Linked DNA regions of Mus musculus. The protein of the gene in region 1 interacts with the protein of each later gene in a biochemical or structural test. Links are inferred from orthologs where the notes say so. Each region holds a gene or a part of one and is shown on either strand. Other genes may lie near its edges.

Region 1 (3,558 bases):
CTTTTGATGGCTTTATTTCAGGGAATTTCTGGCTTATTAATCAGCGACTGACCAACTCTTCCTCGTTCCAGTTTGCAACGGCTAGTGCCCTAAGCACATTGAAAGCACATAGTTCCTTAATTTCTTTCTTCTCATTATGAATTTGCTAGCCAGTGCTCGATATATAAATTAGGGTGGCAGTGCTGGGATTAAAGGTGTATGCCACCATGCCTGCCTGCCCTCCACCCCAATCTTTCCATTATTTCATCATTTGTTCTAAAGAACTCACCAGAGGTTCAAAGGATGGAGAAGAATTTGTAAGCTGTGCACAGTGATTAAGAGTATGAGTGTTCAGGGTCATCAAGTTGGTTCTATGGGTAAAGGCTCTTTTCACGCAAGCCTGGTGACCTTTGTTCAATCCCCACAACTTACAGAGGTAAAAAGAGAACTGACTCCACAAAGTTGGCCTCTAACCACATATGTTCTATGACACATGTGTAATATACATAGGAACACCTACATGCAATAATAATACATTTTTATTAAAGTTTGAATTTTCAGATTACATTGGCCAAATTTAGTCTTCCGTAAAATGTTAATGCAAGAATTAAACATAAGCTGCCACTCTTGGATGTACTTATCTGTAATTCCAGCAGTCAGGAGTCTGAGGCAGGAGCATTGCAAATTTGAGGCCAGCCTAAGCTACCTAGTGAGATCCTGTCAGAATAGGGAGAGGGTGTTTGTGTCTTATGTGCAGACCTTGCACTCAGAGGAGCTGCTTACTAACAGAGCTACAGTTCTGCTAAGTCCACTCCTGGGAAAGACAATGGGTAGGAACATATTTGGGGAGAAACCAAGGTTGGAGTGCAAACTGCCAACAGTGGCTATTTGGAAAGATTTCTGACTTTTTTTTTTAAAAGATAGATTTATTTATTTATTTATTTATTTATTTATTATATGTAAGTACATAATAGCTGTCTTCAGATGCACCAGAAGAGGGCGTCAGATCTCATTATGGGTGGTTGTGAGCCACCATGTGGTTGCTGGGATTTGAACTTCGGACCTTCGGAAGAACAGTCGGGTGCTCTTACCCACTGAGCCATCTCACCAGCCCCTGACTTATTTTCTAATGACAAATATATATTACTCTCTTTTTCCTTTTCTTTCTCCTCCTCCTGTCCCCATTTCCCAAGAGCTGGGACCACAGTACCATACCCAGTTTTATAGTAATCTGAAGAAATTAAATTGTTTTAAATATTCAGAATTTTATGTGACTTGAAAAATTTATATGTGTATGTTTTGTTTCTGTTTTTATTTGGGTTTGTGTTTGTTTTTGAGAGTCTTGTTGGAAGTCTTGTTATATAGACCAGACTGATGGAGAGCTAATTATCCAACTACCACCACTTAGCTACTAAATTAATGCAGTGCTTTGGACCAAACTCAGAGCTTCTTGAATACTCGGCAGGTGCTCAGCCAGCTCAGCCATCCACAGCCCCTGAAGCCTTTAGGAGAATACTCATTTTTTTTTTTTTTTTTTTGGTTTTTCGAGCCAGGGTTTCTCTGTGTGGCCCTGGCTCTCCTGGTACTCACTTTGTAGACCAGGCTGGCCTCGAACTCAGAAATCTGCCTGCCTCTGCCTCCCGAGTGCTGGGATTAAAAGGCGTGTGCCACCATGACCGGCGGAATACTCATATCTTGACAAGATATTTATATATTATCATTGTACAGGAGCTTAAACAGTTTGACATTCTAAGTCATAACAGGTTTTCTGTCTGTTTGCATAAATGTGCACCAGGTTCCTTAGAGAACATGTTACAAGATTTTGTTTGACTGATGTATTGATGAGTCAGAGTCCATATTGTTTTGTTATTGCAGATAGTCTGTATCCTATTATGATGTTCCTTTGCATTTGGCCATAGGACTGATGGCCAGCGTTGTGTAATAGATAATATGTAGGAAATTTTACTGGCTAATATGGAACCCTGGAAAATGATCTAACATTGTATATAAACCCTGAGAGCAGTGTTTTTCGCTTTTGGTCAGAGCTGTATCTTTTTGGACCAGTTATAGCCCCTTAGCTATACGCCAAGGGTAGAAGGTCAGAGGTGCCTCCAGAGTTCCTTTGCTTTGTGGTGTGGCTGGGAGGAAGAGCCAAGGCCTTAGTTTGTGGCAGAGGGACAAGAAGAAACATGAGGACCATATTTGTGCTGTGATGTAAGACACTGAGAGATGGTGATTAAATCTGCTTATTTTTCTTAATTGCTTTTCTTCTCCATAGGGATTTCAAGGATTTGGATTTGGAGATGGTGGCTTTCAGATGTCTTTTGGAATTGGAGCATTTCCATTTGGGATATTTGCCACAGCATTTAACATAAATGATGGACGGCCTCCTCCAGGTAAGCCCACTTTCCTTAAATCAGGAATATATCCTGCTAGAAAGCTGCCTAGAATTCAGCAATATAGAAGTTGCAGATTATTATCACTGCATGCATAGACTTTCCAAAATCCCTTAAGTTCTTTGCAGATTGCCACACTTATCCAATGATCTGAGCACTTACCATGTATTAGGTACATGAGGGATGTGTTCTGTTCTATTACAAACAGAGGGCCTCATCACCTGTACTGCAAGTAGTGATTCTAAGACATAGCCCATGACCATAAATTAAAAATTATAAACAATACTTAGCTAATAAAAGCTTAATCCTACACACACACACACACACACACTTTGACTATTTTGGATCAGGGAGGAGTGAAATGTTAGGACCTCTTGTTCCTTGGGAACTGTGTTTATATGTGTCATCTGCATTTCTCCTTTTAGCCTCTTATCTGTAAGAAGACAAACTGTATTCAGAGTACAGCACAGCAGCAAGGTCTGTGCTTAGACTCCGTTACACTCTGACACAGCCCTGCTTATAGTAATGGAGCCTTCTGGGCCTGGGTACAGTATGAGGAGCAGAAGTGAGTAGTGTAGGGCTGGTCAGGAGCTCAGTGCTCTGAATATGGTAACCCATTCAGAAGTCATCAGAGCTTTCCCTGCTTCATCCAGTTCCTTGGACATAGTGAGCAATAAACCTCTTGGTTGCGTGCCTGCATGAGTTTATCAGAGCAACCAACCGTGAGGGGATGACATGCTACCCCACAATGTACTCAGGCATTGCTTCATATCTTCGTCTGCCTAGAATGTCTCTGCAGTTCACACATTGTTTTCTCAGAGGAAGGGGACCCCAAAGACAGGATGTGATTTGTCTTAAAGGAAAGACAGATTCCTGTAGAAGCAGCAGGAACTTCCGACTAGCTTGCTGCTTTCCACCCTGGTCCAGCTTTCAGACTGGATCTCCTCCAGTTCATTCCACAGCCAGGCTGGGCTCCTGATCAGTTTTCCTTTGTCATGCTTGGTACGGTTTGCACAGCTGAGAGGTGGATTCAGTTGCCTTCCTGCCTTACAATACTCTGACTAGCTTTCCTAAAAGCAGAGCTTCTTACTTAGTCAGTTCCCCCTCTCCCTTGACATGTGATTTCTGGGCCCTGGTTCTGGGAAGAGCAGGCATACAAGATAGGTTTAGAGCCATCTGGAGC
Region 2 (4,321 bases), on another chromosome or scaffold:
TACTACACTAATCACCAAGAAAGACTGCCACATTGCCTTGCCCAGGCTAGGGCCAGCCTGAACCATGGACAAACAGGACACCAGAGAGTTAATTGTCCATGCTGCCTAAGACAAGGTGAGGTCTGTCTCTCCCATGTTCCTCCTCCACAGGAAAAGCCTCTCATAGTCTGGACCAAATGGCCAAAGACTGCCTCTGCACAAGGTGCCATGGAGGCCACAGAGCCTGGGACAATTGTTTAGGTAGTAGACTTTAGACTCGCCTCGGTCGTTTTAGTTGATATATAGGCCATTTTTGGATTATTGTTCCTGCTTACTTAGGTAAATTTTATCCTTCTCAGGTCTCTGAAGACTTTGAAGACCAATGAGAGAAGTAACTTTTTACTATTTCTTACTAAAGGAACTCACTTTACAGTGAGTGTTCCCGCCAGTGTCTCATGGTGATTTTGAACAGAAAAACAGTTTACAGTTTATGTAAGGTCTGAGGCTAGGAAAGCGTCTAAGAAAGTGCGCGAGGAAATAGCAAGGTGTTCTGAGGTTGCTAAAGGTAAGGTATGAAGGTTGGAGGTCGTGAAAACCTTGAATGCTAAGGAAAGTGAGCTAAGGGAGAAGGAAAATGCTTCAGATCTCTTCCCCTTCCCTCCCGTTCCCTCCCCTCGCTGTGCTATCATTGTGGTGAGACCTCAAAGTTCAGAGTTTAACATGGAACAGTGGTAAAACTAACACTTCTAATATTTATCTCTTTTTGTAAACTTAAAAAGATACTTCTAAGCTTCAGGGCATCCACTCGAATCCACTTCTCACAGGTCAAATTGACTCCAGATAAGTACTGCCAATCAATAACCTGCTTCCCTCCCCTACCTGTGTATTCCTGAGGGGGGATCTAGTCCCCTTTCCCTGGTCCTGGGAGCCCCACCCCAACTACCAAGACCATGGGCCTAAAGGTTTCAAATGTACACCCAAGAAAATTTCTTTTTCTCCCTAACCTCCTTAACTTTATCTTCTGCTCCTATCTGTTATTAGCATCCCAAATCCAGAACAGTCCCACAACCTGGACAGCAAGTTACACAGCCTGCTCTTCTCAGACTTGGTCAGCATTCCAGTTTTGAACCCCTTCCCTGATCATGGCACCCCAATGTCAGCAAAGTAGCCATAGACAATTGCGAGGCCCCTTATTCATTTATTATCAACAAAAGGCTGAGGTGTCTGGATTCAGATCCAGGTGCGCATTTAACCAAAGCCGACCTGGCCTCCAGGTTCTCCCAGGTCCCTCAGTCCCTACCTGTTACAGAGCATGGCTAGCATACTTCAGCCTCTGCCCTGAACCTTTCAGCCAAGGGGCTGGGCTTCCCCTCCGCCAGAAGCAGCTCTTCTCTATATAATGTGGGCATTTTGTGCGCTCTCTCTCGCTCTCGCTCTCTCTCTCTCCCTTCCTTCCCTCCCTTCCTTCTCCCTCTCCCTTTCTCCCCTCTTCTCTCTTCTCTCTCTTCCTCCTTCTCTACCCAACTCTGCCTCTCTGTATGTTCTCTCTCCCTGCGTGGGCACACTCTTTCTCTCTCTCTCTCTTCCCTCTTCCCTCTGTCTCCCTCCCCACAGTGACTACCCTGGCCTTTTTCTTAGGACCAGTGAACCTGCCCAAGAGCAGCTTTCTAATAAACCTGCCTTAATATATTTTAATTTGGCTTGAATTGGCTCATTTCACTAGCAGAGAATAGCTATCACCATCATCTTCAGGAACTCAGCCGGGCCTACTCTCCGAAGAGCATTAGAGGTAGGCTTGTAGATGACGTTCGCTCATAGGGGGTGCGACAATGTCAACGGACCCTCACTTGAGTACCCAGCCACCTCTCCCAATTAGTTGTATACAATTCTGCCCTAATTGCAGGCGGTCCCAAAGTCTCAGGGATGGACTAGATTCAATCTAGAGGCTATAGTTGGGGAAGGATTAATAAAGATGACTCCCCTGCGACTACTTTAAGGTCACCTGTCCCATCCCTCCAAAGCAAACTAACTAGCTATCAATATTGCTTGCTGTGAGCTAACTGGATGAATTAAAAAAAAAAAAAAAAGACTGGGGTGTTCCAAGGGAGGGGGGCCCTAAGAGTGTGGGACCCCCAAACAGCTGAGGAGGCAAGTGAGGAGTGGGGCCGGAGCCCCTCCAGCAGGTCTTGACGCTCACCTTCACATGTTCATAGTAGCTGCCAGTGTTCAGCTGCTCCACACCTTTGAACTCCGACTCCCGTTTCTGCATTCTGCGCAGCAGGCGTTCCACAACTTTATTCACCGTCTCGGCCGCCTCCGAGATATCTTTGCGTTTCAATCTCAATTTGTCCAGCACCTTCTTTAGCTTGTCCGGTTCCTTCCTGGACCCTCGCGGCGCTCTGGGCTGCCCGGTGGAGCGCGCGCCCCTTCTGTGGCTAGGTCCCCTTACGACTTTCCGCGCCTCGGGATCCGCGGGCGGCTGGGGCTCCCGTACGGCGGGCAGCTCCGGATCCAGGATGGCCTGCTGCTGGGGCACCCGGACGGCAGGCCGCGCGGTGGCTCCTGCCGCGTCCATGGCCGAGGGCTGTGCATCTTTGGTGAGCTCAGTGGCCCTTGCTGGATGCACTCGGGGCCCTGGGGCACGTGGCTTCTCCGTGGTGTCCCCGTCACGCTCCGCCCGCCGCGATCGAGCCCCCCTTTGCGGGCCGCAGCTTTCCGCGTGGGCCCTGGTCCTGCTGGGCTGCGTCGGGGCGCGCTTCGCGGACGGCTTCTTAGCGCGTGGCGCCGTCGTCCTTCTACGCGGATCTTCCATATCTGCCGCTCTTCGGTCCGGGAAAGAATAAATCGACTTCGAAGAAAGGCCGCGAAAAGGGGAACTCTCAGTGGCCGCTGGAAATGAAACTTAAATATATGGCGGGAACGTAGCCGGTCAGTATCCGCCGCGAGCAGGCGCAGGAGCACGCGTGAAGTCAGCGCCAGGAAGAGGCGGTCCAAGAGATGCGAACTTTTTCACCAGTGGGGACCAGCAGAGCCACTAGCTGGGGAACCACCCACTGAGCCACTGGCCGGGAAACCTCTCCTTTACCGCACAGACGCGGAAACCACTGACAGCTCAGATGGCTAGATTTGCCGCCTACCACCAAGATGTGTTTCAGGACACTACTGTCTCTCGTACATTTGTAGTTGATAAACAACTTTTTTATGTAAACTTTTTTGTTGTTTTTTGTTTTTTTTGTTTTTCGAGACAGGGTTTCTCTGTGTAGCCCTGGCTGTCCTGGGACTCACTGTAAACCAGGCTGGCGTCGAACTCAGAAATCCGCCTGCCTCTGCCTCCCAAGTGCTGGGATTAAAGGCGTGCGTCACCTCGCCCGGTTTATGTAAACTTTAAATCAAAATTTACTGTTCTTGTTAATGAGAAATAGAAACTCACTGAACCTTTTCAAGTTAGATTTAACTGCTTGGAATTAGTATTTCAACTTATCTTTCTAAAAAGCACACCGACTCTTAAAGAACATATTCAAAGTGCCTGTGTGAGTTTCATGAGCAGCACGGTGTAAGCCATCCTGATTTGGCTGCTGAGATTCCGTAGTCCTTTAATGCAGACTTTCAGAAAGCGATTTCTAAAGTCGGTCTCGTCAACAGTGGCTGCTTCTTTTAAAGTTGTTCTTGGCGGAACTCATTTTGCCTTCCACTGTGCTAACAAAAACAAAAACCTGTCTTCTGAAGATTTACATGGCTCAGAACAACACTTAGTTTTCAACTAACATCAGAATGTTATAATAATAACATTACTATATTCCACACCTTATTATGCAATCCTGTGTGTCCCTTAAAATAAAGCTCAAAAATTGCTGCTCTGTGTAACTTTTTGTAAAGTGTGTGTGTGTGTGTGTGAGTGTGTGTGTGTGTGTGTGTGTGTGTGTGTGTGCGCGCGCGCACGCGCGCGCGTGTGTATGTACCATATATTATGAGATACATGTAGCCTGAATAAAAAGACACCGATCAGTGTGCTGCCATCCTATTGACCCTGCAACTCTCTTCCCTCCTTCCTGTCAATGCCTGTACATGAGTTTTCAAAATGGGAACTTGTCTAACAAGCATTCGCTTTTGAATGGCAAGTAGACACACCTGGGAATGGAAACGCTGCCTACTTTGCAGAAATACACTTGAGCAGGAGACCTCTCTGTGAGGTCTTGCCAGTAGAGTGGCATTCTCCATTATTAGTCTCAGCACTAGGGAAGCAGAGGCAGTAAGCTGGAGATCTACAGAGCTAGTTCTAAAACAGTCAGGGCTATACATCGAAACCCTATCTGGAGGAAAAGAAGAAGAGAAGGGAGGGAGA

What was found.
Region 2: of the proteins of Rnf185 (region 1) and Cgas, one has a biochemical effect on the other in vitro, tested with the Homo sapiens proteins (2 studies listed by BioGRID). The link is inferred for Mus musculus from reciprocal best matches to the Homo sapiens genes RNF185 and CGAS.

Annotation. Positions count from the first base shown.
Region 1 is NC_000077.6:3,418,679-3,422,236, reverse strand, and holds part of Rnf185 (E3 ubiquitin-protein ligase RNF185), read left to right. Parts: intron 1-2,257; coding exon 2,258-2,375; intron 2,376-3,558. UniProt on the Homo sapiens protein: E3 ubiquitin-protein ligase that regulates selective mitochondrial autophagy by mediating 'Lys-63'-linked polyubiquitination of BNIP1.
Region 2 is NC_000075.6:78,440,288-78,444,608, forward strand, and holds the start of Cgas (cyclic GMP-AMP synthase), read right to left. Parts: upstream 2,951-4,321; 5' UTR 2,792-2,950; coding exon 2,177-2,791; intron 1-2,176. UniProt on the Homo sapiens protein: Nucleotidyltransferase that catalyzes the formation of cyclic GMP-AMP (2',3'-cGAMP) from ATP and GTP and plays a key role in innate immunity.